Linked DNA regions of Tribolium castaneum. The protein of the gene in region 1 purifies or fractionates together with the protein of each later gene. This does not show direct contact. Links are inferred from orthologs where the notes say so. Each region holds a gene or a part of one and is shown in the gene's direction. Other genes may lie near its edges. The genes, in order: MED19, RNA polymerase II subunit B1 CTD phosphatase Rpap2 and Polr2G.

Region 1 (10,246 bases):
CGGTTAGGACCGTAACAAGACATTTACCCAAGAATAGGATGAAGTCGCCCAAACCGTTAATGGTGGCTACTTGCAGGGCATGTGAGGACAGGACTTGAAACGCCTTAAAAAAATATTAAAAACTTAAAAAATTGTTGTTTTCGTAATCCCGTTACCAAATGTCAGATTTTACGACTATTTTGACGTAATGTACAGTCAGTTAATACCTAGGGTTATTACGTTACTTATTACCGGACGATGCTAATTAATTTGTTTACTCTTCATAAAAAAATAAAACAGCAGGAATAAATTTTCAATTTACGACGGAATTATTAATAATATTGTAGGTAAAACGTTATCAAAAGCCTATAATTATAACAATCGTTTCTGTGGATTTAATCTACGAATAAATTTAACTAAATTGGATCTGACATTAAATAAAATAAATAAAAATTAAAAACAAATTGTATATTACAAATAAAAACTCACGGAAAACTCTCACCTACTTTAAAATAAGAAATTTTATCACAAAAATATTGAAATCAACCCATACCGAATTTAATATGGAATTTTCAGTGGAGTTTTAAATTATGTAGGCACCCAACTTTTAATTCAAAATTATGTTTTTAAGTATCAAGTTTAACCTCGGTTTGACTTATAGTTACAATTCTAAAATTAAATTTAAATTAACAAAAAACATCCATGTTCCAATTTACACAATTTTGGTTCTGGCTCAATGATTAGTTCATTTTTTTAATTCACAATTTCTACTTGGTTTAAAATCATAATTAAAGTAACTGTTCTAAAAATTTAAGATATTATTTGAATTCTTTGCTTCTCACCTCGGCATTTTAAGTATAACTTCTAAAATTTGTATTTTTGAGTTTAATTTTAGCTTGAAACTTGTGCTCGTAAGACTATGCTTTGTGAATTTATTTTTTTAAATTCATAAATTGAAATTCTTTAGTATTGTTTATGGTAATAACTAATACATGCAGAAAGGAAGTCATTTGGGATTTTTTACAAAGATAAAAATACATTTTGAAATTTTGAATTCAAAAGTTTAGGCTCAGAATTCTGATTTTTAAATCCAGGGTTTAAACAAATTGAAAAACTGAAAGTTTGATAATAATGATTGGATATTCTTTTTACTTTTTGCGTTTGTTTCCAACTTTCATGAAAACTATTAATCGGAGAACAATGATTTTTTTTAACAAAAATAGATTAATTGAAGAGTTTTAATCCAACGACAAGGAACCTAATAAAGTTACGTTTATTAGTTTCGGAGTTATTGCCCGATGAATGTCAAATATTTGAAAACTAAATGTAAAAGTGGAACTATTTTGATAAAAAGTTATATAAAATGATCTGAGAAGTTGATAGGCGCCGAGAAATCGCCAAACTCTCAATGGCTTTTAAATTATAATTTTTCTTTATTTTTGCATTTGTTTGCAATGTTCTCTAAAACTATTAATCGAAGAACAATGAAAAATAAATTTTCAACTTACGACGGAATTTAAAAAAAATACGTAATACGTTATTAGAAGCCTATTATTGTTTAACTCGCATAATTTGCAAAACTTGTTCGCTGTGCTTACTCGTTTTGGCAAACATTATGTTCGTTAAACAAAATCGGTCTTTTCATAACTGATTACGGAAATAACTTTCATGGACTATTTAAAAAAAATACATTTGAAACTTACCGTCCCAGCAGCTGAGCAGAAATTAACTCCATCGATGGCAATAACAGTGTAAGCGTTGTGGTTCAAATATCGGATGAATTTTTCCAGGCACCAGAAACAGCAAATGCAACATTTCAGCAGACAAGACGCGCATTCGCTGCCTTTATCCGAATTGTATTTCAATCTGAAATTTTTTATAAGTTCACGAAAATTCAAAAATTGCGCTTACTTTTCATGTAAAAACATTAAAATCAATCTCGGGACTTTGAAAATCGTAATCAAAAGTGACCCAATGGCGACCGACCCTAAATGGTATTTTATTAATTTACAAATGGCGTACGAAACGTGCGAGTTGTCTTTGTATTTGTGGCGGTAGAACCAATGGGCCACTGCCCCAGCGATTACCATCTGCTGGCAACCCATAATAAACTCACACGTCCATATGAGACCGATAAAATAGACCCACCACATGTATTTCACCCATGTTGGGTCGGTAAACTCGACCACTGTCATTTCTGAAAGTAATTAATAAAACAAAGAAAGTACAAAAGCGAAATGAATACTTTCAAGGAATTTTTCGGTTAAAGAAATGTTGCCCAACTTGGCCACCGGTTCCGTATGGCTCACAGGGGTGGTGAAGGACTCGTTAGAAAAGCGATTGATTCGGGAGGTTCCAGGGTAGTAAGCCGTAGCCAAGCATAACTGGAAGTTTTTTTATTAATTTAACTACGAAAACTGGTGAACGTGGGACGTACCACAACGAAAATCCAAAACATGAAGAATAAAACGAGGATTATAAATGTTAAAATCGGTTGCAAAAACAGAGCCGGGAGGTGGAGTAAACATTTGGACGTTTCTTTGAACAAGTCCGACAAAAAATTGACTTGTTTTCGCATCACAGCAACAATTAATAAAATTATGACCTAAAAACAGCTATTTTTCTGAAGTTGTCCGCAACGAGGACGAAATAACGAATGTTACGTAAGCTTTGGAAAAAGTTTTTCAATTCTTTAAAATAAGTACAAGGGTTTCTTAAAGATGTTGCCAAACTTTTTTGTATAACGACTTCTACCAGGGTTAAAGCAGTTAATACCGAGAGTTGTTATTGAAAGTCTCAATAACAAAAATTTTATGTGGGCTTTTGAACACAATATTATATGAATTATTATTATTATATATGAATGGGAAGCTTGAAAAGCAGCACAACTAAGACGCAGAATATATAACAAAAGATAAGAAAAGTTAACATAAACACCGTCCAAAAAACACAATACGTTACACAAAAACTGTACCATTATTTTAGATGTAGATTTAATTTGCATAAATGTACCTAAAGTAAAAAAATCCCAAAACTTACATAGCACACGTAACCCACAACAGTCCGTAAAATAGTATTTTTCGGCACTGAAATCCCCGTAGTTATAAATATGAGTAGTCAGTACAGACAAGACAAGATAGTCCATAAAGTGTATTATGTAGAGCAGCGTTATGTTATAAGTGTTAAAAAATATATTTCAGTGTCAAGATAATTCCTCAAATCATGTAAATTTTAAAACATTTTGCAAATGACATTATACACATTAGGAACAATCCTTGTTAACTTCACTTTCTATTACAAAAAACTTAATTCTATAGAATAAGCTCCCAATGGTATTACGTTCAAATTCACCTTGTATCGTAATCAATGAAAAAAATTAAGTGTTAGAAAATGAAAATAAAGAAGGTACATTTTAAACTATATGGGTCGGTTTGCAGGCTGATTCTCGATTTCGTTAGAAAAGTATGTATTCCACTACTTTACGGACTATTTTGAGTTATTTTACAGGCTATTTCGTTCACTATATGAACGACATCCCGATAAGTTTTAATTATTTCTCTTACTGTGATAACGGTGGCGATGATTGAGTACCACAAAAAGGCCGTTTCGTTGCGAATTGACTCCATCAAAAGCATGTGTTTGTTCGTCTTATCCAAATCATACTTAATATCAAAATAAGTGTACCACAAAAACGCTGTGCCCAAGATGCTCGCAATTGTGAACAAAATCATGATTATGTACGACACTAAATGGGCCAGTAGATGCAGTATTGAGATAGTTAACAGCGAAAAAACTGAAAATCAAACTGTACAAATTTTCCTGTGACTATCCAAAGGCTCACATAGTGATAAAAACGTTAAATAAAGGATTTCCTTCCAGGTGCTGTATATGTCGCCCAAAATTTGCTCAAGTGTGTCCCAACTGTTCAAAGCTTCGTAAAAATTGCTCAAAATTGCTTCGCCTGCATCTTGGAATGATTTAGGAACGCAACGGTTGAGAACTGGGGTGCTTTAGAAAACCAGTTTTATCTTTATAGAACACAAGTTTAGGGGAAATACCTTTCGTAAATAGGAAGTGCCGGACACGGCCCTAAATAGCTACTCAGAATCTCCTTATTCGCAATACTCTTGTTCTTAAAATCGTCATAATTAAAATCATATCTACACAAACTGACGCCAGTTTTTTGGTAATATTTCTGGATATCTTCAACTTTTTTTAACGTCTCCGTGGGACACTGTTTTACGCATATCTTCAGCGACTGTTTCAGCTCTTTAATATCGTAGAAGAGCAAAAATTGTTTGTCTGAAGTGTCCAGTCCTGATACTTCCAAATTGGACATTTTTCTGTTATTTTTTGTCCCGCAAATGTTCCCAAATGAGTCATAGCCGTTTATAATTCTGATGGGATTGCCGTAGACAAAGGAGAACGCCGCAATTAAAACCTAAAAATATTAATGAGGCAAATTACACACCAATCAAGGTTATTTACCATTAGTAACCAAAACGCAATGTACAAACACAACCAAAACACGTCGGTGCACCCTCTCTGAGCGGGTTCTTCCCGCTCGGGCTCCTTTTTCGACTCGCAACAACCCATTTTCGTTAACTCAAACCACTTTTTTCACAAAAGACGCATGTTTTCACTGAGAAAACCAGCAATGTTTTGGGGGCGGCGGCTTCGACGCGGTATCTTAGCAACAGTAACAATTGCACAATCTCGCCAACCAAACTAAACCTAAAGTTACCAAACTAGCAGGGTTCCAAACGCCAGACCGTGAAAATTACCAGGGTAACAATTGATTTGTTTGTTTGTTTGACGATTTTGTGTTGGTACGTGATGCTGAAGTGACATTTCCCATTTCCAGCTGCATCGTTGTTGCAAAACGATGAAGTTGTAAGATGATGGGCGATCAGTTTCGTAAAGTGGAACAATATTCGCCCAAATCTTCGCCTAGAGGGGCTCGTTCCCCTGTCGTTTCACGTCAGGATTCGTCAGGAACATTAAAAACGACAATTTTGTTAGGAAAGAACCCTTCAATTGTCCCTAGTGGACCTTTCTATTTGATGAAAGAGCCTCCAGGTAAGCAAGACAAGGCTTGAAGTCGTTTAAATCACGCGGACGGTGGTTGTAGGAGAGTCGGAACTAACAGGAGCGACGAATTTGATGGCCTATTATGGCCTTGAGCACTCTTACAGCAAATTCAGTGGGAAAAAACTCAAGGAACAGTTATCTTCGTTTTTGCCAACTTTGCCTGGCGTTATTGACTCTCCTGGACAGCATGATAACAGTTCGCTAAGATCAGTGATTGAGAAGCCTCCAATTGGGGGCAAGGAGTTGTTACCATTGACTAGCATCCAACTGGATGGGTTTAGACTACACCCTGGGGCGGTAAGCTTGATAATTTCCCTTTAATGTGTTTTGTTGAGTATTGGATTTTAGCTCCCTGAACAATACCGCTACGCAAATGCGGCGCCTATGAAAAAGCATAAAAATAAACACAAAAAACACAAACACAAAGATGGGGGGCTTCCAAGTCAGGAGACTACCATTACCGATGCTGGAAGTGATACACACGAGAAGAAGCATAAAAAACAGAAACGACACGACGAAGATAAAGAACGGAAGAAGAGGAAAAAGGAAAAGAAGAGAAAAAAGCAGAAACACAGTCCTGAACACAGTGGGGGCCTAACGCCCAGCCAACACTCAAATTCGTGAAGATCTTTGGATTGTGAATAATTCCAACTTACCCTAGGTTTAAGATCTATTATTATTTATTGTTTATTATTTTTGAAAATAAACAGACTGTTATTTTTATTAAGTTTTTACTGGTCGTTTTAGCAAAGCTAGCACCACTAGATTAATTAAATTCATGATTATCAAAAAATAATAAATTTGAGGGCCTACAAATGCCCTTAGGCCGACCCTGAACTCTGATAAGGTTTTCAGTGCTGCCACAACAAGTTCTCCAGCTGTGTTTCATACAAACTTATTATTACAATTTATATCCATCACAAATGTTGTTTTTAAGTACCTCGACGGTATTCAAGTGGAACTGAGAATATAAAACAAGGTTGTTTGTGGAAAATTTAATATTTTGGCGTGCTTTATTTAGTGTGTTTTTTTGGTGGGGTTGGCAGGGCTGTTAGCGCCGACCAATCACAAGCCCCCAATCCGTAGCGTCTTTTCCCTCGCATCCATTTTCCTCCTGTTTGTTCGATTATCCCAACGGTAGAAGATGGGCGATCGTAAGTATCCCGATTTTTAAAAAATCTCGCTCATCCCTGTACGAAATCACCTCGTGTATTCAAATTTCGACTACTTAACACATTACGAAGTTGTGGTAGTTCGCATTTTTCACGTCGGCTTGCTCTAATTTCATTATTATCGATTTTTCGTTATTTGGGTAATTTATGTACAAACCACTTTTGCAGGATCGTACGCCGACTATTCCCAACCGCCCCCCAGTACTGCGTATCCCAATACGTACGGGGCACCGCCGACCGGCGGTTTCAACCCCCCGGGCGGGGGAGGTGGAGGTGCCGGCGGCGGCGGCGGATCTTGGAATCAAGGACGCTCGTCTGGCGGCGGCTATGGCGGCGGTCAAGGTAAGAAACAGTGATGTGGGGCGACATAGGCATGGTTTGAGTTTGTTTAATAAACTTGAAACCTCCTACTATGTCGCAGAATAATTAGGGAATTGATAGTCCCTTCTTATCTTGATATGAGAAGGGGTAGACATTCGCCTATACATTACTTTTGAAAGAATTGTTTTGTTTTTTTGCTATACTACCGTCAATTGTTCCAGGTGGCGGCGGCGGTTATAACCAAGGAGGTGGTTACAACTCTGGCGGAGGCGGTGGCTACGGCAATAGTGGCGGTTATGGCGGCGGCGGTGGTGGCGGCTATGGAGGTACATTCATAGTTTTGTGTGTTGTTTGTAATTAATTATTTTTGGTTTAGGAGGCCGAGACCGTGGCGATTTTGACAAAAGGCCTCTAGATCGACGTGATTCTTATGGGTAAGTTATCGGTTTTTGTTCTTTTACTTTGTTGGTATTACACTTTGGATGGGAGGTAGTAAAATGATAAAAAATGAATGAATGGGTATTTATTGTCAAAGAATCGTTGAAACTGTATTAATATCAGTTTGCTTACAGAGTTTAAATAGTGTAAGTATTTTGTTGTAATACACACGTCTGTGTTTGTTGTTGGTGGCCGAAAATGGCCGTTAAAACTTGAGTTAAATTATAACAGGTGGTTTTTCCTGAGGTATTTATTTTTGGTACGGTCCTTAAAGGTTGAGTTGGTTGTTACTACAATTAAATGGTTGTTATGTTATTGAGGTGTATAATAAAATCTTTGAGAGTTTAAAAATAAGGTAAACATCGTACATAGACGTGACAACAACTAGAAATAGGTGATCTTCGTGGATGAAGACAATGTGTATGCCAACAAAATGGTTGGTGAAGTGTGTGTTTTTCACCCCCCTCCATTCTCTCGACAACTACTGATGTTTTACTTCTGTTTTAGAGGCGGCAACAGGGGTGGTTATAACAAAGGTAAAAGCACTGAGTCACTGTGACCAGTGCATTTTTGTACACTTTTTAATTGGTATTTTTATTGGTTTTTGGAAGAGCTGCATTATTTTTATTTACGTTTTATAATTTCCCACACATTTTGATTATTTGGTGTTCCATTATTGGACTTGTTTCAAAACTTAGACCCGCGATTATAATGTGAATACTAAATAATCATACGTAAACAGCTCTTCCACTATTCACCTGCGAATGTTAGGGTGCGTTGCTATAATTGACAAGTTGTTTATCTTCGAAAAGTGTTGCAACATTTCATTGTTTCCTCTTTGCTGATTAGGTAACTTCTTTCGTATTTGCAATTTTTTGTACATTTATACAAAAATATAAAGCATTGGAGTAACTTACAAAATCATTACAGAAAATGTTTATTAGAAAATCTTTGGGTTTCGATTGGTCAAGTTTTTATAAAGAATTTTAAACGTCAGTTGCGATTCTAATATTTCTTATTATTATTATTATTATTATTTTTTTATTAGATATGGTTGTTAACATTGATACTTTATTATTTTCTTTTTCGCAAATTTTAAAAATTTGAGTAATTAATGTTTTGTCAGTAACCTTTAGATGTTCTCAAAGAAAATCTTTGGTCCATTTGATTAAATCTAGTTTTTGGATTAGTTTTATAGGTGGTTTTAAGATTTATATTTAGTATCTCCTTCTATTTTCATTGGCGTTTGAAAAAGAAAGGTCTTATTGAGTACATTGTTTTTTATTGATAGAGTAAAGGTAAAAGAATACATAATAGTATTTTTCTCGTGTACAGGGTGATTCAAAAGTCTCCGACTATATATCGTTTAGATGGTGATGAATACATCCAACTAAGCTAAAAGTTCCTATGACAAAAAAAATTGTGATCCTTTTTTTCTTCACTAGATATAGCTTTTTACAAAGTTATATCTTTGGGTTAAGATGAAGTAATCTTAAATCTCTCGAGAGATTTTATAAAATTAGATAATTATTGAAAAAATTCTCTACCTATAATACGTATAAAACATTTATAATTTACCAAATTTAAGAATGAATTCAACAATATGGGAAAGAAATGCGCAAGAATTAATACGGTTGCTAAGGAAAAAGAAATACTAAGAATTAATACGGTTGCAAAAAAAATTGATTATTATGCTTAACTGAACGTCTTTTATCACCCTGTAAGAGTTAATCCTTCATTTTTTAATCACCCTGTTATACATCGGGATTTCAAAAAGTTACGAATGGTTTTATGAGGTACTATGATTTTAATATATATATATTAAAGGTAAAAGGATAATAAAGTTTTTCCTTTTATATTCATTGGTATTAAATAAAAAGGTTCTATTGGGTATATTGTGATACGTATTTGACAAATTTCGATTGAGGAGTACTTTTAATGCTGTCCGTTTGAGCGCTAAGTGCATACTTTATTTTTTGTAGAAGGTTTTTTTCTTCATTGCGTGGTAAAATGGCATCAAAAACGCAATGGTCTTAAATTAAAAAATTGGTATTTATTTCAAGGTGCGTTATGGTCAAGTTTAAGGTTTATTCAGAGTGAGAGAGTAAGAGAAAAGGTATATAGTATTGTTTTTACACACCATAAGATGTGAAACAGTTTTTGAGAACTGAGTTAGTTGGCGCAACAATTAATTTTAGTAAAATTATTATTTTTCACCCTTGACATCATTTTCGTATTAATTTCCAGATAATGGCGGCGGCAGTAACTTGGTGGTTCAAGTCGACACGATTTTTGTGTCTGGAATGAATCCAAATCTCACCGAAGACGAAATTGCTCAACATTTTGGTTCGATTGGCGTGATTAAAGTAAGTATTTGACTAAACTCAGCGACCTGCACTCTGTGCTTGGATTCACTTTCTTGACCAAGTTCAATTTTGATGTGTCGCAATATTATGACAGATGCTATTCCTTGATTGCAAGAAATATTTGCAAACAAGTGTATTCAATCTGCTACAAAGAATTCCATTTTTGACAAATTTGAAATGATTATTTCGTTCCGATTAGATGGACAAGAAAACCCAGAAACGGAAGATTTGGTTGTATAAAGATAAACAGACCGGACTTTCAAAGGGTGAAGCCACTGTTACGTATGACGATTCCAATGCAGCTCAATCAGCAATTTCTTGGTTCGACGGGAAAGAATTCGGTGGTACTCAAATAAGGGTACAGTTGGCCACGAAAAAGGATAATTGGAGTGGCGGTGGCGGCCGCGGAGGTGGAAGAGGTGGCGGCCGCGGGGGCGGTTTTGGAGGAGGCCCAAGAGGCCGAGATGGAGGTACGTGAGTTTGCAATTTTTTTAAAAGAAATTAATACCCCTTCCGACCCAGATTTGTCTAAAATAGGCCAAAATCTGTTTTTATTTTAAGGGGCAGATTAATTCCCCATTAAACACACAGTAGCAGTTTGGTTGCTTCTGATGTATCCTGTCTAGGGAAACATTTTTTTTATTTGATTGGCAAACAATAATTGTTTGGTATAGGTTTCGGCGGTGGTGGTGGAGGCGGTAGCGGCGGCGGCGGTGGTGGCGGTGGCCGAGACCGCGAAAGCCGCGAAGGAGACTGGAAATGTCCAAACCCAGACTGTGGCAACACAAATTTTGCTTGGAGGAATCAGTGCAATAGATGCAGTGAAGATAAGCCGGAAGGTGCCGGTTCCGGGGGTGAAGATCGCAGAGGAGGCGGCGG
Region 2 (11,304 bases), on another chromosome or scaffold:
GATCGACTACTTGAACACTCCGCATTATTATTCAGAGCATCTGATAGATGTAGAAGATACAAGTAATGAACAAGTCCCTCCTAGAATCCCTACTCCAGCGATACGACGCGATTATCAGGAAGAAGAAGTCCAAGCACCTATCGTTTCCAACATACCTCTGAACAATTACATTGTTTTGAATAACACAAATCCTCGGCAGTCCTGAGGTTTTCACTTTCTTTTTCATATTTATAGTTATTTATTTTGTTGTTTTGTTAAATTTGTGCAATTAACTTTCAGACCAAAGTTTTAATGTGATTTTAGTATTGTTATGCTTGGAAAGTCAGCTGTAGTTTTTAAGCCAATAACTTATTTATAAGGAAGCAAACGCACATGATAGTAGTTAAGCCAGAAAATAACGTATTTCTTATTAGGTTGTGAATATGTTAGTCACAAAACGGGGTTTTGCGCTAGACAAGACTAAGACTCCTGATGTGAATGGATGCTGCTGTATTTATTTCAATAGCTTAGGTTCCTAACAGACTAAGTTTATGGTTTAACTGTTGTTCAGAAATAATATATTGAAATAAATTTTTTTCTCACTTTAGCGCGGTAACAAGCCAGGCCCTTAGTCTTGAACTTTAAAACTAAACTTTAATCCCCATAAATTATTAAAATTGTAACAAACAGACGTAACTCTCAGTTAAAATTTGTAAAAATTCACGTAGGAATCCCAAGCGTTCGCCTTACAATCCGCTCCGCTATTCTGTTAAATTCCTCCCTATTTTCCCGCCACATTTTCGCAGCATCAACATTTGCTCCACTCTCATCATTAGGTTCTAAAAATCATGTTGAATTTTGTTACTGTTTTGTGAAGAAACGTACCTGCAAGCATGCTGACAACTGAGAGAAGAATTTTTTCAACACTCTGTACAGGAGACCATCTCTCAGCACTTGACTCATAGCCCATAGGGTCATCTCCAGGGGCGTGCAAAATGGAAATACATACTCGCCCATCAGCATAAACTAAAATCTGCTGATTCATCTCCTGTTACAAAAACCCTAATATACTTACTATTAGGGTGAAACATTTCGCAGGTGAACTGCATTTTAGGAGGGCTTAAGGGATAGTCCGGGGGGAAAATGAGTTTAGCTGGGAAAACACCGCCCTCAAAACATGTCCCCTCAGGGCCACTAAAAACCCGTCATATGAAAGTTTCCCTACAAAGACAACTTACGTTATCAACGCTTCCCACTCGAAGAAATTTTCTTCGTTTATTGGACCAGCAATGATACCTTCTGGGGGGTTCAGAGTCAGTTCTAGAAACATAAAACGAATGCAAATAGTTTGAGGTTAGGCTTGCATCTTACGCTTGTACTCGGCCATAAGGCGTCTTAGAGCTGAGCCTGCCATTTTTTATCAATATTTGAACAATATGAGCACCCAAAAATGTGCATTGAATGAATTTAATTATTCTTTATAATATTTTACGTGAGCGTTTGTCAATTCTTAAAAAAAAGTGCACTGCAATCACCAACTCCATCGAACAGCTATAGATCAGACTCAGTAGATGGTACTTTGACAATTTACAGGTTACTATAAGAGCGTAGTTTTGCAGTCATTGCTTAGATGTCACTACCTTAGATTTTATTATTTTTAAATGTTTTATAGATCTCTATAAAAGGTACTTTAAGATTTGACACCCAAATGTCACTACCTACAATTTAAAAAAAAATAGTTTAAGACGTTTTAAAGTTTAAGTTTGAGGCACTTTCTGTTATGTTAGCAACTTGAGATTTTACATGTTTACATAACTTTTGGAGCACTATTACGTCATGTACTTCGATTCCCGATTAAAAAATGTGCAGTGCTACCTCGGTTCCTGATTGAGATACGGGAACGGGACCTATCCCATTCGATAGCCCAGGAAAAATACTACGGCTCAGTAGGGTTTTCACCGCCCCTCTATCTCTAACAGGAACGAAGATATTTCGCATTTTGTGAATTTCAGATTTTCTTCAGTTTTTATAAAAAAATTTGTGAGTGCTAGAAAATTTATGTGAAATTCTGCAAAATTTTAAAAATGGATTTCGTATCAGGATCATAGGAACGCAAAGAGGCCACGAAATTTTTAGCGGCGTTTACATGCAACCAGTTATACATCTGCGTGTATTTTAAGTTATTTATAATTTCTCATTACCCTTTTGCGTTCCTGTGATCCTGATACGAAATCCATTTTTAAAATTTTGCTGAATTTTACTAAAATTTTATTTCATTATCAAAATTTTTATAAAAATTGAAGAAAATCTGCAATTTACAAAATGCGAAATATCTTCGTTTCTGTTGGAGATAGAGGGGTGGTTCTGTCCTTTTGAAAACCCTACCGCCCCGTAGTATTTTTCCTGGGCTATCGAATGGAATAGGTCCCGTTCCCGTATCTCCCTCAGGAACCGAGATAGCACTGCACATTTTTAAATCAGGAATCGAAGTACATGACGTAATTGTGCTCCAAAAGTTACGTGTGCATGTAAAATCTCAAGTTGCTACGACAACAGGAAGTGCCCCAAAATTAACTCGTAAAATATGTTCCAAACAAATCGCATTAAATAAAGACTTTCAACAAAAAAGCCTAAATTTTTTATTAGAGTTTTTTTTCAACCTGTTTTGTTTATTGGCTTTCGAAATTATAAATATTTTGAACATAAGTTTGAGACACTTCCTGTTATCGTAGCAACTTCAAATTTTGCATGCTTACATAACTTTTGAAGCACTATTACGTCATGTACTTCGATTCCCGATTTAAAAATGTGCAGTGCTATCTCGGTTCCTGAGGGAGATACGGGAACGGGACCTATTCCATTCGATAGCCCAGGAAAAATACTACGGGGCGGTAGGGTTTTCAAAAGGGCAGAACTACCCCTCTATCTCTAACAGGAACGAAGTTATTTCGCATTTTGTGAATCGCAGATTTTCTTCAATTTTTATAAAAAATTTTATAAGTGAAGGAAAATTTAGGTAAAATTCTGCAAAATTTTAAAAATGGATTTCGTATCAGGATCATAGGAACGCAAAGAGGTCTCGAAATTTTTAGCGGCGTTTGCATGCAACCAGTTATACATATGCGTGTATTTTCAGTTATATATCTTTTCTCATTACCCTTTTGCGTTCCTGTGATCCTGATACGAAATCCATTTTTAAAATTTTGCTGAATTTCACATAAATTTTCTCGCACTCACAAAAATTTTTATAAAAATTGAAGAAAATCTGCAACTCACAAAATGCGAAATATCTTCGTTCCTGTAGGAGATAGAGGGATGGTTCTGCCCTTTTGAAAACGCTACCGCCCCGTAGTATTTTTCCTGGGCTATCGAATAGGCTAGGTCCCGTTGCCCTATCTCAATTAGGAACGGAAATAGCATTGCACATTTTTAAATCGGGAATCGAAGTACATGACGTAATAGTGCTTCAAAAGTTATGTAAGCATGCAAAATTTCAAGTTGTTATGACAACAGGAAGTGCCCCTAAATTAGCTCGTAAAATATGTTCCAAATAAATCGCATTAAATAAAGATTTTCAACAAAAAAGCCCAAGTTTTTTATCAGAGTTTTTATCCAACTTGCTTTGTTTGTTGTCATTTTGAAATTGTAATATTTTCAACTTAAATTTGAGACACTTCCTGTTATCGTAGCAACTTGAAATTTTGCAGGTTTACATAACTTTTAAAGTACTATTACGTCATGTACTTCGATTCCCGATTTAAAAATGTGCAGTGCTATCTCGGTTCCTGAGGGAGATGCGGGAACGGGACCTAGCCTATTCGATAGCCCAGGAAAAGTACTACGGGGCTGTGGGGTTTTCAAAAGGGCAGAACTACCCCTCTATCTCTAACAGGAACGAAGATATTTCGCATTTTGTGAATAGCAGATTTTCTTCAATTTTTATAAAAATTTTGATAAGTGCGAGAAAATTTACATGAAATTCTGCAAAATTTTAAAAAAGGATTTCGTATCAGGATCATAGGAACGCAAGGAGGTCAAAATTTTCTAGCAATTTTTGTTTGCAACCAGCAACGCATTTATGTGTATGCTGGGTTGCATATTTTTTCCATTAAAAATTGTTTATGACCAAAAATAAAAGGCAGCAACACATTTCAACACTTTATTAAAAAAAAAACTATAATTATTGAGTTCATTTTCTCACTAAAAGTTATTTATGAAGAAATATAAACGGTAACAACACACTGTGACATTATTTAAAAAGAAATTGTAATAAAATAAATCACAGTGAGTACCTACATAATATCCAACAAATATATACAAAAATTATTTCGGAAAATTAACAAGTTCTGTGGCATCTTCGCTGTCACTAAACCTCTATGACAAACATGCGTTAATACTTCCAAACTAAATGATGGTCCAAGAGTCGCACTATTCGAAAACTGTAGTCGAGAAGAATCCCACAACCTAAAATCAAGTTCAAAAAACTCAAAACAAATTAAAACTTAATCCCAAGAGGTGAAAATGTAACGACCTTCTTGCATGCCTCTAATCCTGATCCAAAATTAAATTATTCCAAAATTATTTTTAAGATGGTTCTCAAAAATTTACTGGTTACTATAATTCACTGTTTTAAAATAATAAATTCTAAAATCGTACTTAAATGCACAACTAGATGGCACTAGTTTTTTTAATTGTAGGTCGTGACATCTAGTGGTTAGATGGCAAAATACAACTTTACAGAAAACTATAAAAACAGCTTCTGCTCTATTCGTAATTTCACAAAACAGTAAGTTACAGTAATCTGTAACTTTCTTAAAGACATTTTTAATAGCAAAAATTTAAAATTGTCAAAAATCTTGTAATCCTCTTAAAAAAATCTACTGTTATTGTTTAAATAATTTGGATTTTATTAAAATAACTTCTTTAGATTTAATGTTTGACAAGTTGTATAGGCAACCAATTATACGGCAGTAAAAATAATACAGATTAAAGTAAAAGTTAACATTAAAGTGTATACTAAAATCGTAAAAACGCAATAAAATCTTTTAAGTACTGTTTGCGTTTCTGTATCACTTATTTTATAAATTTTAAAATTTTATGCAAATTTACTGTCTATTCTGTCAAAAATAATTTTTTTTTTAAATGAGATTAAAAGTTTGTACCAAAATCAAAGAAATGCCAAGAGGTAGAAAATGTAAAGACCTTATTGCGTTCTTGTAATCCTAATACACATTTTGGTTTTAAATTATTCCAAAATTATTTCTTAGTGTTAAAAAATTTACAGGAAACTATAATGAAATTTTAAAACAAGGTGCAAAGATAACATATTGAATTTTATAAAATTTTACTTTGATACCAAACACCTAGATGTCATTAGTATATTATGTAGGTCGTGACATCTAAGGGTTAGACGCCGAAATATGATGTTACAGAAAACTATAAAGATTGTGCTTCTATACGTCATTTTGTAAAACAATAAGTTACAGTAATCTGTAACTCTTTAAAAAACATTTTTAAATTGCAAAAATTCAAAATTGTTCAAAATTTGTAATCCTTGTAATCTTCTTAAAAAATCTACATTGTTAATGTATAAATAATTTAGATTTTATTAAAATAACTTTTTTGGCAGGTTGAAATCCATTTTGAAATTTTGCGATTTACAGCGAAAAATAATTATTGTTTTTAAAATTTTAAAATTAAAATCAAAATGTGTATTAAAATCGTAGAAACGCAAAAAAAGTCTTTAAATTTCGGTACTTTTTGTGTTTTTGTAACATTAATCCTAAGAATTTTAAATTTACAAATTTACTTCGGTTTGTGTATGCAACCAATTATTTACGGTCGCGCATAAGAATTGCCTACCTCAAAAATTTTTATTCAAAATATTAGTAAAATTTTACAATAATTTAGAACTAATATTTAAATTAAACTTAAATTATGGATTAACTGTCACCACAACTAGTACCAAAACAATTGCCAACATTTAACATTTATTAAAAAATCGATAAAATGCACGAATTTAATCACGTGACATCAATTTCCACCAATCAACGAGATGATTGAGGTCACGTGAATCGTGACGTTAAACAGCCTGTCAATTTGACAAGTGTGGAAGGTTATGCTACTTATGCACTGTTCTTCAATTTTTTTTTAGTTTTTGATGAACAGATTTAATTTCTTTAATTAAAAAGTATGCAAGATTCGCTCGAAGATTATATTCGTATTTCGCGCAACTGCAAAGAGGGACCAACCCAGGTTAAGTGAGTTTTCACTAATAAAAAACGATTAACTTGCCCCAATTAACTAATTGTTTCTAGGAAAGAAGTTCTTATTACTGCTCAAATAAAAAAGGAGTGTGATGCGAAAGCACTGCAAATACTTCAGTTTGCAATAGAAGGGAAAATGAGGTCAGATGCTTTGTTCAAATGTGTAAGTAAAATAGGATGGTGCAGCGTAGTTACTAATTCGTTTTATAAAGTTACCCTACATTAACCAGTCTCATTACCAAGACATTGTCGAGGAAAGAGCTATCAGCAAGCTGTGCGGATATCCACTTTGTTCCAAAAAAATTCCAGACATGCCAAAGAAACAATTTTACATTTCCACTAAAAACAACAAGGTTTATGACATAACAGATCGCAAGGTACGAGATAAATCAGCTGTGATGCCATTTTTATTGTCTGTTTGTAGAATTATTGTAGCAATTTTTGCTATCGCGCCAGTCTTCATATCAAAGGCCAAATAGACACCAGTCCGTTATGGCTTAGAAAGTATCAAGAAAAGGCCCATTACACGCTCCTCAACAAATCAGAAAAGTAAACAATTCGTGTGTAATAACATTTTGTAAAAAATATTTCAGGGGTCTGCCAGGAGAGATGATAGATCAGGGTGTAATAAAACCAGCTGTGGAACCATATTTTACTTCAGTATCCAGTTTTACTCAAATGTCATTAGATGAGGCAGAAGAATTGGAGTTAAACCCTCAAGAGGAGGAGAAAATAAAGCAAAAAAAGAAACCCAGAAAGTACCAAAGAAATGCAATGAAAACCATTAACGAAAATGAGGAAGAAGAACAAGTCGAATCAGGAGAAAAAATGGACGAAATGAAAGAATCTGTAGAAATACTAAATAAGGAAAATAAAAACACCCCGAAAATAAAAGACAAACCGTTAGCTCAAACTAAACAAACAAACGCCACTGACGTGGAATCACACATCTACAAATGTATTAAAGAGTGGTTAACTCTAGAAACGTTCATGTTTGTTCACGGCGAAGAAAAAGTAAAAGAAAAGCTGGATAGTCAAAAACTAAGCCACTACTTTGACGCTCTGAAAATATCACAACTGCAAGTGGAGCAACAGAAACGATACATCGACATTTGCAGAAAGCTGCATTTAAGAGAATTGGCCGAAGAAAAATTTGACAAAGCCGTTGTCGGAAACCAGGCCTTGAAACCAATCCCTGACTATCGACAACTAAAGGAAGAAAGCCGCGAAATCGACTTAAAGGTGAAGTGTTTCTACAGTGGCGAAATACATATCCAGGAAGACAAAAACTTCCCCTCGAAAAAGGAAGACACGACTAATGAAGAAGAGGAACAACCGGCAGTGCTGCCCTTGGTCGATGTGAACTCACAAAACGCGTTAAGAAGAAAAATCTTCCTAAATTCACTCAACAAAACGTACGTATTCCTAATGACATGAGCACAACTTATCAAATAATTTTTACAGAGTACAAACTTTATTCCAAACTTTGAGGATAAGTCCGAGCTTGGTTTTGTCAGATTTGCAATCCCTGGTCAAGACTTTCAGTCTGAAAGCGGACAACATTGTCTTCAAACCCGCAATTTGGACCTACATTGCTATAATTTTGCTGAAAATGTGAGCACAACCAGTGGTTTAGTCTCTCTCTAATGATATGTTCCAGCCTGGCCGTGAGGGACGAAAACTTGCGCAAGCTTCTGGACCAGGAGGCGTCCAAAAGTCAGTTAAACACCTGGCTGTCTTCACTCCCCAACAAAACCCAAATAGTCAGTGATACCTTGAACATTCTTTTTGATATCGATACCTTTGTGGAAAATTACATTTGTAAATAATTTTAATAAAATGTATCAAGTAGCAACGATCGTTTTTTACGTTACGTTGAAAGATGCGCGTGGTTTGATTTTTTCCGTGGGTTTTTCGCGTTTCAAAATGAATTTAAACGTTAACATGTTTTCGGCCAAAAAGGTGAAGCTCCATGGGATGCAGTCCGACAAATGGACAACAAAAGACAAGATAAATCAGTACAAGGGACTCATCAGTCTTTACAGTAATTGAAAAATTGTCTTAAACCCAGTTCCTGACTGTGTTTTTAGCTAGAGACCGGAAGATTATCGAACTCGACACAAATGTGACTCGGAGAAAACTGACGCGGCTTATTAAAGACTTGCAACGGGCGGTTTACAATGATCGAAGGGAGCTGGACAACCAAATTAGGGGCGATAAACAAAAACTGCGCAACACTTTAGCCGAACACCGGGAGCTTCAGTTGGCCTTCCAAAATTCACAGCCGAAGGTTTCGCTTAAAAATCTCTACTTTTCTTCCAATCTCTGTTGTAGAAAGTGATTGAGGAAATTAAACAACGTAATTTTAACAGACGCAAGGTCCTGGACCGGTTGAAATACGAGAAAAAGATGCGGTCGCAAAAACTGATAGATCTAAAGGTGACGAAACAATTCAACTTATAGTTTTGTGACCGGAGTTACAGTTGGAGCAAGCGCTGCTGGAGGACCGCCTAAAATACGCATTCCTCGGCCAAATCAAACAGGAGAAAGAGGCGCAGATTATAACCGGCAAATTACAGGACGCTATTTTGCGCAAAGAAGGCGCCTCGGCGATCTATCACATCTACCGCGAGATAATCGACATTATGAAAAAAGTATTTGTAGTGTTTTGGAGTCAATTTATTTGAAATTGTTGCCTTTAGGACGCTTTATACTTTGACGCGATTATAGCAACGGTAAAGTACGACGGCTTCAGCCAAAGCAAATGCTTCCTGGGCGCTACCAAACTGGGACAACTCGCCACGGAATACTTGGACGACAGGAGACAAGAATACGACACTTTGGAAAAGATTATAATCAAAGATATGACCACTCGTAAGACTGACATTCGCGTTTTGCAAGAACACATTGACCGTGCGACTGCTAGCATTAAGCTGTTGTTGCGAAAAGATGTAATTTGTTTGGTATTAAAACCCTCCGACTGTTTAGATTTTCTAGAGCGACCTCACAACATGTGCTAAAAGTATCAGGGATTCCGCCAGCATGGAAAATCTGCGGCGAGATGTGGGCCAGGTTGAAAAAACCCTTGTCTATCTTAAAAACACAACGCTGGCACGGTCTTATGATACGATATATCCTTGGTGAGAATGAAAGATTTGTTTCTTGTTTTTGCTAATGACAATATTCAAGTCTGGAAGAACAGCTCAAGCAAAAACGGCGTCTGAAGCGCCTGACAAAAAAATGTGAACGCGATAGAGACATCATGTTGAACAAAACCAACCACGCTAATTTAATGAACTCGGTTTTGAAGAATACGATGAATGAGACAACTGTCGAGTAATTTTTACATTACAAATGAATTTTTGATAAAGTTGAAATTCCAGATACAGAGCAAGGAAGACGGAATTAAAGGATGAAGTGGAGAGACTCAGGAGTGAAAAAAAAAGATATGCAAAACTGCTACAAATCAAGCGAACAATAGCTGCAAATATTCGCATAGGTTTGCGGCAACTTTTACAAGTCTCGTATGAACTGTCGGATGAAACTAAGAAAAAACCTGCTCCTAGCTCACACCCTTTTGGTGTTTTGGCCGAGAGGAAGGACAAACCACAGGAAATTGTCGAAGATGAAATCGACGGTTACTTGAGGGTTATTTTTGTATAAATGTAACTAAATCAGTGTTTTAGGATCAAAAATTGTGCCAATTTTGGTGGCCAAATTCACTCCCTTAATGTCACACTACTTTGCGCTCAAACACGAGCCAAAGTCCGATGAGGCTTTTCGAAATATTGAATCAATGATGCAGGAGCGAATGATTCTGGCAGACCAGTCTGAGGCACCCCTGAGTGAAGCTTGTAATTGCACAAAACGCAAACACGGATGCGTTCATTTAATTGTTAATTGTAGCCTTGTTGGAGGGTTTATATGTTGAAGCCAGTGAGCAACTGACAAGGGAGGATATTAAAAAACAGAGTCAGGAAATCGTTGCAGCGAATACGAAAAACGAAGATTTAGTTCCACTAATTGTCGTTCCGTTCAACAAGTGGAAGAAAATGCAAAAGCAGCAAAAAAATTAATGGGATTTAATGATAAATTATTAATAAAAATACTCAACATCGTGGTTGTTTCAATCGTCGTCTGCCAACGCTGCAAATTTATTGTGGGCGTAATTCGTCGGCTCTTCATCTGAGTCAGTTTCTTCGTCTTCGCTTTCTTCACTGCTTCGGTCTTTGTGGTCACCGGAGGAGCCCGGGACGTTGTCTTCATCTGAAGCATCAGAGAGGTAGTCTTTGTCGTCTGCGAGCTGAGTGGAATCGTCAGATTTGGCCTGAATCCACTTCACTTTCTCGATCTCCGGGTGTGAGGCCCAATAATCTAACAAATAAAACATAACGCAGTTTCAATTTCTTTTCAACCAGCGTTTGCCCGGAATTTTCATGATTTTCTTATTAGCTAGATCTTGGACAAAAATCAGTGATTCACGTATGCCTTCTAAACATATTCCAAATGTTATTCAACTGAAAACCTTTTATTTTATCTTTTATGTCAAGAGATAAATAAAGACAACTTTTTGTATTGGTTACATGCTGATGAGCAGGATTCTGAATCATATTTGATACGAGTTTGTAAGACAGGCACATAAACGTACAAAGTAATCAAAAATCTTTACATATAGCCACAAAATTAAAAATTATTAAACAACTATTAAACTTGGGAGTTTCAAGTTTTAATGCTAGTCAAAAAATACTTCCAGTTACCCCAAAAAAATTATATCGCAACGATAGAATTTATTATGAGGAAACGATTGCAATTTTCTTCAAAAACTACATTTTTCAATTAAAATATTCCGTATGTTCCAAACGAAGTCAAATGAAATAAAAAAAAGAAGCAATGAGACATCTTATACAAAAAATAACGTTGTTCGACATGTCAACTACCTTTTTTATTTGAGTACTTGGGTGGCCTGAGACACAGGCAAATTTTCCCGTCCAAAGCCATCCTCAGTAAATCATTTGCAGCTCTGTAGCTGTCCAACCTGGCGGCTTTGGCTGTCAGGAAA
Region 3 (10,118 bases), on another chromosome or scaffold:
TCAAAAAATGCAAGGTAGTTCTGAAAATTAAATTAAAAAACCTGAAAAAGTTCTTTGTAATGTCACCAAACATGCACCAATCTCCTTTAGTAAGATATTTATTAAAAAATCACCCTTTATTTATTTAAAAAATTTTTGTTTTTCAGAAAACGTAACCATTTTTACAACTTTTTTCTAAAATATTACGTTGTCGTTTACTTTTTTCATTTTTTTGTGTTATTTACTACGTAAGCTTTTTCTTCCATTATTGATGGTGAATTTTCTATGAACATGAATTGAAACTACAACTACAAACTTTTTAAAACTAAACAATTAAGAACTTAAAAAGTAAAAAAAAACGACGAAAACTAATAATTTCATCAATTAATTTAAAAAAACGCAACCCGTCTATTTACTAGGTATTTTTTTCAAAATCAAAATCAAAATATTTTTGCCGGCCTTAACATTCCACCCTGAGCTATATTGCAATACAATACAAATTCTACTAAGCAAAAAAGATGGAAAAGTAGATTTTTTCGAGCAACTTTCTTAATTGTAGCATTAATACTTCATTTTTTTTTAATATCTTACCTCAGCCCGTCTCAATTTCTCCCAAACGTGATGCTTAACGCATGATTTTTTCGGCGCTCGACAAAACTCCCCTGTCAGATCGAAAACGTTGGTGACCAATGGACAGCCACAGACTTCATATTCGCCGATTTTCGGATCCTTGCAATGCTCTGGGCACAAAACCCTCAATCTTTTACAATAAGTCCGATTAGCTGGATTATAAAAATCGCAAAACATGTTATTCCCCTCAATTCTGGTTTTAAAAATACTCCCGAAACTCGCTTGAGATTCGTACTTGTTGAAACACTTTTCCATGTGTTTGATGGCCGTTTTCGAATGTATTTCGAGTCCGCATGTTATGCAATACATGGTCGACACTTCCGACTCTTCGTCGTTGTCGAAATCGGCGTTCGGATCAATGGTGGCGCTCTTGGCGCGCTCGATAATCGCGTCCAATTCGCGATGCCGGCTGTCCAACTCTTGCAAAATCTGTTTGACTTCGAACTGTTGCTTCCTGACTTGGTCGAGAGCTTTGATATTGGACTCTTCGGCAGAGCAGGGACTCAGGGCCCACTCTTGGATACGCTGTGGCAACACTTGCAAAATCCGATTGGTTGCCAACTTTAAGCCACACTGATCCGAGCAGTATTTCGAGCCGTAGCGGGCGCTATTGGTACACGTGGGCCCGTAGCATTGGCGCGGATAGTCGGTCATGAGGTGGGCATTGGGCGGGCCTTCCCTGTCCGAGCTTGAATCCCGCCTCTTGCGCCTCCCCCTGCAAATCAATTGGTCAAGAATCAAGTCATGGGGCGTGGCTACCCCACCCGCCGTAATTTATGCAAATCCGCTGCTTGCACCGCTCCTTGTTGCGCGGGGAGCCGTGACGGCTCCGCCTCGTGCACACGTCGCACCGCCCGCAGTCCTCGGTGCGGTAACACCCCATACAGTCCCCGCATTTTTTCATTTTTTTGTCGTTTTTGGTGTCACCTCGTTCTTTGCGTTTGCGGGCTTTGCGCTCCTCGGTGTTGGTGTTGGCACTGGCGATTTCGTCGCGTTTGGTCCGCCAACGAGTCTGCAGAGTTGAGTCCTCCTCGGAACAGCGAATACAAATGTATTGTTTGATCATTTTGGCCTCCTTTTCGGAGATGTTCATGCAATCGCCGTGGTACCTAGAAATGCATGATTTGAACAATGTGTTGGCATGCAGGTGGTTTTTTACCATTCTTCACAGGCGTCACACGCAATCATGAAACGGGAGCTGTCCGAGGAGCGACAAATGCAATAAGCTTGACCATCTTGCTTGAGGAGGGTGTCGATTTTGGATTGACGCTCCGGTAACAGAAACTGTTTAGCGATCTCTTCGCGCTAAAAACAAGGCAAATTAAACACAGTTTTGTCCGGTTTATGCCAAAAATTACCGAAATATCGCGTTTTCGAGACATCTTCAATTAACTTAACCTTGCTTCTTTTAGCCACTTTTCCTAGCTCTGTTAGACATTTGAGGTAGGTCAGCACCTTAAAGCTAAACAATCGCCATTTTCAATGCTTTTCTTATGGGCATTTAAAAGTTTTTCGTATTTCTTTAATGCTAGAAGTGTAGGAACATTACTTTTACAGAGAAATGATAGCTATGAAAAATGCAATGTCGTTTCTTAAAGATTTTAGCAACTGAGCTAATATTTCTGTAAGTTGAACACATAAATCCTTTTCTAACCTAACTTTTTTCAAACTTCAAAATTCAGTTTTTCTTAATTTGGACATCATATTGATGTAAATTATTATGTGGCCTTTTAAAACTGAGGGAAAAATGGTTTGCCACACTAATGACATTGGATTTCTTCTGAATGACGAATTCATGGGGTGCAACCGGCGCAACCCCAATAAACGGGTTGTTTTCTGTCCCCCTCCCCCATCACGAGGGATGAATAGCAGGTATACGAGGGTAGAGGGTTCAGGCACATACATGGTTGAAAGTAGTACGGGTTGTGAGTTCTGTGCTTCTTTCGTGAGTGTCTTTTGTTATCGTGTTTTTTCCGATCGTTCTCCATATCTTCGTGTTCTTGAATTTTTAAAATTCTGTTTTTCCAAGACATTATCTCATTTTTGTGGTACATCATTAGGTATGATTTGTGAATAATATTTTGTTGCGATACTTTGATAGTTCATGTGTAGTAGGTTTTTACATCACAACTATGGGAATGTGTTGGGCTCCAGATTGCAAACACTATAGTACTCGCGATAAATGCCATTTTTTTAGTTTTCCTAAGTCGGGAAAAGAACGAGCACTATGGAAAAAATTGTTGAGGTAATTTTTAATAGATGTTTTGATATTAATTTTTAATTGCTTGTTTCATTGTTAAATGTAGAAGAGATGTAGAACCCGGACCAGGAGCCTACGTTTGCAGCTGCCATTTTCGGGATGGAAGAAAGGAAAATGGTCCTGAATTATTTTTGCACAATATCGCAAAAAGAGCCTATTTTCAAGTGGAATCTCCAGAAAAAAAAAAGATGAAAAAACAAGGACTCCCTTCTTGTTCTAGTTCCGCTGAATCATTAAGGTAAAAAGTGAATCCTAGTTTTAAATTGATTTACAATTTGATCATTTGAATAGTGTTGATATACCGGAAGAAACAGTACCATCGACAATGAATTTAGAGGAAGTGCCATCGACGTCTACAGCCGTAGTTGCAGCACCAGCAGATATAATTCAAGATGCTCCGTTAGAATCTATGGGTGTGCAAGCACCCTTGGTGTCACATGCGGCTCTTGAAGCAGAAATGTATTTTCTCAAAAAGGAAAATGCTGAACTTAAAGCAAAAATACAATATCTGACAGTACGATTTTGCTATGAAAATGTTCAAGGAAATGACAAACTCATTGTTTTATATACCGGTCTTCCCAATAGCCAGATTTTCGAAGCATTGTTTCACTTAATCGAAAAGTTGGACATAAAATATTACCACAAATGGACAGTCCAAAAGTTAACTAGAATTGACCAACTCTTTTTAACCCTAGTAAAATTACGACTCAATTTCCCTCAACTTGATTTGGCGCAACGCTTTGGGGTTGCCCAAAGCACAGTTTCTAATATTATTTTAACATTTGTCCATGTAATATATGAAATTTTATATAAACAGTTTATGACGACAATGCCTTCGCGCGAAAAAAATAAATCTTGCTTGCCAACATGTTTTAGCAATTTTACTAATTGTAGAGCAGTTCTAGATTGTACCGAAATTTTCACTGTGGTATCACGTAAGTCTATGTCAACACAGAAATTAACATATAGTACTTACAAACATCATAATACTTTCAAAGGGCTAATTGGAGTTGCACCCAATGGTGTCATCACATTTGTAAGTGATTTATACGTGGGATCAACTTCTGATCAAAAAGTTGTTTTAAATTGTGGAATAATCGACATGTTAAAAACTGGAGATATGATTTTAGCCGATAAGGGATTTTTGATCCAAAATATTCTGCCACCAGGGGTCACTTTGAATATTCCACCTTTTTTATCAAATGTCCAATTTACACCAGAGCAAGTTAAGTGTACCGAAAATATTGCACGTGCAAGAATACACGTCGAAAGGGCAATACGCCGATTAAAATGTTATCATATTTTAAATTTTTTGCCAGAGTCTTTGTGCCACTATGGAGATATTGTTTTTAAAGCGACTGCCGCTTTAACAAACCTCCAATTTCCATTAATTAAAGAGGTAGCAGAATTGTTTCAGGATTGTGATGATTAAAATAATGTAAAATAAAAACCATCTATTTATATACAGTTTATTATTGTGAAATAAAGGAAATATATTGGTCAAGATAAAATTCTTTTAAAATATTGATATTTTCTGACCACCCCGGATCTTTTTCAATTTGAAATATCTCTGTGCACTTTGGTGTCCACACGACAAAGTAGCAGATACTTCGACCAGTGATGTGCATTTGCCCCTGTACTTGGTGGTAATAATTGTGATTGCTGTTAAGATTAATGTCCTCATTTTCATCCCTCCAATAAAAATATTTTTTATCCTTCAGGGCTTCAGACAAACTGTCAGTGTCCCTATATTTATATGGGCATTTAATTTCGAGAATCCCATCTTCTTCCACTAATCCATCAGGACTTGCTCCCAAAAAGCCTGATTCTTCCAACCTACAAAAAAAAGTAATATTACATTATTCATCTAAGTTATACGTGTTAATTATTTTCGACCTACCAAAATCCCGTCTCTTGGACTTTAAGATTCGTCGCTTCTTCAAATTCTCTGAGCGCTGTCTTCTCGTGGGTCTTACCCCACTGCACAGCAGCAACCCTGTCAAGCGAATAGCCTTCCGCCAAATTTTTAAATAAAGAGGGTGGGAATCTTCGTCTACTGCAAGCAGATAGTACCATGCCAAACCTGCTGGCCGTTAAACGATGTTTCCTTGCTACATGCCAATTTTCGTTAACATGTTGGCCCCGAGTGCACGCCTCAACCAGTTTAATGCGTGCCTCATCTATTCTGCACTTCTCCAAAAGAAACTTTTGTTTGTCTATGGCCTGCACGTATTCTAAGCTTTGTAGAATTTCTTCGATATCTGCAATAATTTTTCTGGCTTCTTCACTTGCTTCTGGTCTTAGGAGCCAAGTGAAGCCCACCACATTCGTGACGCCTATTTCGGCACGGAACTGAATAATTTCGTCCTCAGTAGAGGACCTAGACAGTGCCGTATAGTTTGATAATTTCGGCTTGTAAACATCAGCTAACTTAATGACTTCTGTTTGTGGTGTTGTTTTTGATGGGGCACTCCACTGACACTCAATGTCAGTAGCACTTACATTATAATGAGCATAATATAATGCTGCAGCCATATGATGGCAAGCCACGTTGCCCCTTGGGCAGGTACAATGTGCCGTCTTAACCCCTTCTTCTAGGTCATATGAAATCTAAAACACACTTTGTAGAAGAAATGTCTAACAGTTAAATAAATACAAACCTCCACAGTATAATTTAGCTTTTTCATGCTCGGTAGAACTTCTGCAGAAATTCTCATCGGTTGTACTGTGCCATCAAACCTAAATTTGGTGACGTGACCGCTGGTAAAAGCATTTTCTCCCCGAACTAAAAAGCGATTACCGTCCCCAAAAAATTTCGCAATAAAGTGAAACTTAACAATGTGCTTTTCTGCCACTAAAATGCATAAATATAATAGTTTCTCAAAGTATAATTAAAGCTTACTCACTTTCTCACCGACAACGTGGTTCCCTGTATTCTTTTATAAAGTTCGTATTTTCACAAAAAGTCACTTCTAAATTAAATTAAAGTCTCTAGTGGCACAAATTACACCCGCTGCAGCTATTTGACACGTTATTAACGCACAAACACAACCAAAAAACCGAAAAACGTATTACACCACATGTAAAAGACTGGTTGTTTAGCTTTGAGCAACTGACCTACCGTAATAAGAGTGGGGAGGTGACGTCACGACTGATAGCGCGTATTTTAAAATTTAGGTGTCTTAACAATAAGAGATAACAATAGGAATGATTAAATAATCATTTTGTTAAGTATGGAATGGACTTTTACAACTTAATAACATTGAACAACAAAAATAAATTACTAATTTTAATTATTAGCGCTTTGTTGGGTTGGTATTTGATACAACTGCCAACAAAAACATAACCTTAGATTTGAGCGGCAAATTAACGCGGAATTGTTTGTGTTTTTAAACAAAAAAAATGTTTTATCATGTAATATTACGACTAAATAAATCACTGTTTTATACACAATACTTTTTAGATATCGTTGGAGCATGAAATTTTATTACACCCGCAATATTTCGGCCCACAGCTACTTGAAAAGGTGAAAACCAAGCTGTATACAGAAGTCGAAGGGACCTGTACGGGAAAGTCTGTATTCAAATTTACTTAAAAGTGTTTATCTTCATTCTTTAATTTTAGATACGGTTTTGTAATTGCTGTAACCACGATAGATAGCATAGGGGCTGGCCTTATTTTACCTGGCCAGGGATATGTGGTGTATCCAGTAAAGTATAAAGCTATAGTTTTCAGACCATTTAAGGGAGAAGTGCTTGATGCTGTCGTACGGCAAGTTAACAAAGTGATTACGGAATATTTTCACTTCTTTTTTTACAAGATTGGGTTTTTTCTAGGTGGGAATGTTTGCAGAAATTGGACCTTTATCATGCTTTATCTCACATCATGTGAGTTTTTTTTTAAAGGGTGTGATAATATTGTGACACTATTTTTTAGTCTATACCGGCAGAGATGGAGTTTTGTCCAAATGTAAATCCTCAGTGTTACAAAACCAAAGATGAGGATGTTGTTATTCATGCTGAAGGAGAAATTAGATTGAAAATAGTTGGTACACGTGTGGATGCCACTGGAATAGTAATAAATCAAATATTTCAGTTCCAATTTTTTACGATTCTTTTTTAGTTTGCAATTGGTACTTTGATGGACGATTATTTAGGTTTGATAAGTAACTAGAAGTAAGGGCGTTTTAATGTATTTTAAGTCAATAAAAAGTTTTTTCAATCACTATATGGCGTTTCTTTTCAAATTACCCGCTTCTCAAAGTTTAGTTGCAGACTGCAGGCAATGCAGAAATCTGTTTTACTGTTGTAAACATGTCAATGTCAAGTAATTGTCATTAAAATTTGTTAAATTTTTTTTTAATCGTAAAGTTATAATTGGTTTCAACAAAATTCAGTGCCAGTTATTGTAGAAGAATCGCATTACTTCCAGAAACCACGAAAATATTGTTTTCCGCATTAGTTTCATAACTACGCGTAATCCCCATTGTTGATTAGTAATGGACGAAGAGGTGTTGACGACGTTAAAAATCCTGATAATTGGAGAGAGTGGCGTCGGGAAATCCAGGTAGAACAAGAAACCAAACTATTTACCCCACTTACTACCACCTACTTAGCATTTTAGTCCGCTTTACTGAAGACAACTTCGATCCTGATCAAACGCTAACAATTGGCGTTGATTTTAAAACCAAAAAACTCACAGTCGATGACAACACCGTAAAGCTGGCAATATGGGACACAGCTGGTCAGGAGCGATTCCGAACATTAACACCCTCTTATTACCGCGATGCACAAGGTGCTATTTTAGTTTATGATGTCACCAACTATTCCACATTTGCGAAACTGGAAACATGGTTGAACGAACTGGAAACATACTCGACGAAAGCGAACATAGTCAAAATGATTGTGGGAAATAAAATTGATAAAGTAAATAATCACTTCCAAGGCTTCATGTGTGTAATAATGACTTTCAGGAAAATCGGGAAGTGAACAGGGAAGAAGCGATGAAATTCGCTAGAAGACACCAAACACTGTACATTGAAGCAAGCGCCAAAACCAGAGACGGGGTCCAGTGCGCTTTTGAGGAACTAGTGCATAAAGTATGGATTAAGTCACAACTTCGTGATCACTAATCGAATTTTTTAGATAATACAAACTCCAGGGCTTTGGGAATCATTTGCATTAAATGGAAACTTCCAGGTGGATAATAAGGATCATCCTTCAGATTCTAGCTCTTGCTACTGTAGCTTGACTTAAATACTCTTCTATTTGTGCTGCTTTTATCCCAAATAATTTTAGAATAACAAATTAATATATTTTCAATTATTTATAGTCATGTGAATGTGAAACAGAACACATTAAATTAAGTTGAAACTACTGTCGTTTTACACTTGCCCACAGTTCTTCTTCACATGCATTGTCAACACCCACTTGGACACAAAACCTTTATGGCATTTACCACACTTGTAAGGCTTCACCCCTGTGTGTTTCCACATGTGGTATTTCAAATGACCGGCTTGCATAAACGTCCTTCCACAATAAGTGCACAAATGTGGAGCTCCCGTATGTTTTTTCATGTGATACCGCAAGTTATCGTGATTTTTAAAAGAAGCGCCACAAATATTACACAAGAAGTTTCTTCTTTCGCTGTGTATTGTGGCCACGTGGTTGTGCAGAGACTGCTTTATGCTGAACACCTTTGGACAGTCTGATATCGGACAATTAAATCTAGGAGTTGCGTTACTGTGTGTATATTTATGTTTGCTGTATGAGCCCCTTGACAGAAATGATTTTTGGCAAATGTTGCATTGAAACCTGTGTTTCATTTGGTAGTGATTGATGTATTCTTCCGTATCGTGGAACTGGCGTGAACATGGCCCACAGTTTATTTGGCCACTGTGTGAGTGTAAGTGTGAACGGAACAAAGTAAATCTCTTGAAGGTTTTTGGGCAAACTGGACAACTTAGAACTGTGGTTCTAGAACACGATTTTTTCTCTTCAGCTGGCTCTGTTGCGTGGTCAGAGTCAACTGTTTCACTGTCTATGGAACAATTATCAGAGTCACTATCGCCGTTCCATTTGTTGTTTTTGTACTGTTGGGTCAGTTCGACTGACCGTTTTATTAAATAGTCTTGGTCATCTGAATCGTACTGTTTGTTTTTCCTACTACCGTCCTCACATTCAATAATAAAACTTTCCGTATCGTTGCCAAATTCTTCAAATTGTGTTTGAATTGTGTCCAGGCTGTTTTGTAACGTCTCTTGTGATTTTTTAAAAATTTCCACAAAGTCGTTCCCTATTCGTAGCTTTGTGTAACAAGAATGGCACAAATTCCGGGGCAAATCTACATTGTCGCTTAGCTAAAATTTTGAGTTATTTGGGGTGATATTCTCAGTTTTTCAAACCTCAAGTGATAAATTTTGCAGCATGGAGACTGGACTGATCCCCAACTGTTCAGTTTCAAAAATTGGGAAAAAATCATTGCTGACTGAGAGACATGCTCGACACACACTTCCCCACTTATCACTTTTGCTCATTTTGTTTCAAGATTTAAAAATTTTATAATAGCTTACAAACAATAAAGGGACTGACAACTGACACAATTCATGAGCCCCAAATGGACTTAACCTCAAATTATAAAAGTGACAAAGGTGAACTGTTCCACAATTTATTTAAACAGATTTTGTTCTGATTCAACTACAACTAGTTTGTGCTAGTTTTTAGCTTTAAAGCATAATCAAAAACAAAAATAATTGATTAGAAAAGGTTGATTAACAGAATTTCAAAAATCTGGTAACTTTATGTTTTTAAGGTCTTTAAATTAAAAGTTGGTACAGAAAGCAATTAGTGGGTATTGGTAAATTTAAGAAAAGATACTTAAAAGATGTACCTAATCGGCATTTGAATTACGTTGGCTTTTTTTAGACTATAGTTTTATGGAAATAATTTGCGCAAATTTAAATAAACTTGTCGTGGTATTTAGTATTTGTGTTTTCGAAACAGTGCGTACACCTTATACCTCGCACCTTGTATTTTCATGTTTGACGCAAGCGCATTTTTAAATTAATTGTTGACGTTTTTCACCGTTTGTTTTATAAGTTTGAAAACTGCTTTTAAGTTAATTATAATTGTTTTATGCACTAATTGATAAGATTGTGTTTGATATTACGATTTGATTCAGCAGTTACGTGTAACAGTGACAATGACCCAATAAGTTTACTGTTTCTTTGTGTTCATGATTATATCCTTTT

What was found.
Region 2: the proteins of MED19 (region 1) and RNA polymerase II subunit B1 CTD phosphatase Rpap2 purify together in Homo sapiens (affinity purification with mass spectrometry; 3 studies listed by BioGRID and IntAct, with this or other methods). This does not show direct contact. The link is inferred for Tribolium castaneum from reciprocal best matches to the Homo sapiens genes MED19 and RPAP2.
Region 3: the proteins of MED19 (region 1) and Polr2G purify together in Homo sapiens (affinity purification with mass spectrometry; 3 studies listed by BioGRID and IntAct, with this or other methods). This does not show direct contact. The link is inferred for Tribolium castaneum from reciprocal best matches to the Homo sapiens genes MED19 and POLR2G.

The regions. Positions count from the first base shown.
Region 1 is NC_087395.1:19,587,604-19,597,849, reverse strand, and holds MED19 (mediator of RNA polymerase II transcription subunit 19), read left to right. Parts: upstream 1-4,804; 5' UTR 4,805-4,877; coding exon 4,878-5,058; intron 5,059-5,110; coding exon 5,111-5,367; intron 5,368-5,418; coding exon 5,419-5,694; 3' UTR 5,695-5,793; downstream 5,794-10,246. Other genes in the region: Ctl1 (choline transporter-like 1), read right to left, coding at 1-103, 1,683-1,845, 1,891-2,176, 2,225-2,363, 2,417-2,584, 3,543-3,772, 3,821-3,987, 4,038-4,420 and 1 more; RNA-binding protein cabeza, read left to right, coding at 6,215-6,224, 6,411-6,584, 6,785-6,889, 6,940-6,997, 7,509-7,537, 9,249-9,367, 9,567-9,837, 10,042-10,246. UniProt on the Homo sapiens protein: Component of the Mediator complex, a coactivator involved in the regulated transcription of nearly all RNA polymerase II-dependent genes.
Region 2 is NC_087394.1:30,806,927-30,818,230, forward strand, and holds RNA polymerase II subunit B1 CTD phosphatase Rpap2, read left to right. Parts: upstream 1-6,050; 5' UTR 6,051-6,171; coding exon 6,172-6,239; intron 6,240-6,296; coding exon 6,297-6,408; intron 6,409-6,457; coding exon 6,458-6,622; intron 6,623-6,669; coding exon 6,670-6,794; intron 6,795-6,838; coding exon 6,839-7,660; intron 7,661-7,709; coding exon 7,710-7,859; intron 7,860-7,905; coding exon 7,906-8,074; 3' UTR 8,075-8,100; downstream 8,101-11,304. Other genes in the region: uncharacterized protein LOC662537, read left to right, coding at 1-205; Ubc7 (ubiquitin-conjugating enzyme E2 G2), read right to left, coding at 700-818, 865-1,005, 1,055-1,173, 1,218-1,299, 1,351-1,393; uncharacterized protein LOC662435, read left to right, coding at 8,172-8,289, 8,336-8,535, 8,580-8,684, 8,729-8,899, 8,948-9,196, 9,243-9,385, 9,435-9,581, 9,629-9,882 and 2 more; Ns4 (guanine nucleotide-binding protein-like 1), read right to left, coding at 10,372-10,619, 11,183-11,304.
Region 3 is NC_087398.1:9,592,313-9,602,430, reverse strand, and holds Polr2G (DNA-directed RNA polymerase II subunit RPB7), read left to right. Parts: upstream 1-6,144; 5' UTR 6,145-6,271; coding exon 6,272-6,283; exon of another isoform or gene 6,284-6,332; coding exon 6,333-6,442; exon of another isoform or gene 6,443-6,493; coding exon 6,494-6,653; exon of another isoform or gene 6,654-6,705; coding exon 6,706-6,756; exon of another isoform or gene 6,757-6,805; coding exon 6,806-6,943; exon of another isoform or gene 6,944-6,991; coding exon 6,992-7,042; 3' UTR 7,043-7,096; downstream 7,097-10,118. Other genes in the region: CXXC-type zinc finger protein 1, read right to left, coding at 571-1,324, 1,374-1,718, 1,769-1,914, 1,968-1,991; uncharacterized protein LOC107397902, read left to right, coding at 2,330-2,669, 2,722-2,854, 2,916-3,107, 3,161-3,804, 3,868-4,301; uncharacterized protein LOC107397903, read right to left, coding at 4,342-4,705, 4,770-5,479, 5,530-5,723, 5,776-5,776; ras-related protein Rab-18, read left to right, coding at 7,368-7,435, 7,485-7,794, 7,842-7,967, 8,014-8,124. UniProt on the Homo sapiens protein: Core component of RNA polymerase II (Pol II), a DNA-dependent RNA polymerase which synthesizes mRNA precursors and many functional non-coding RNAs using the four ribonucleoside triphosphates as substrates.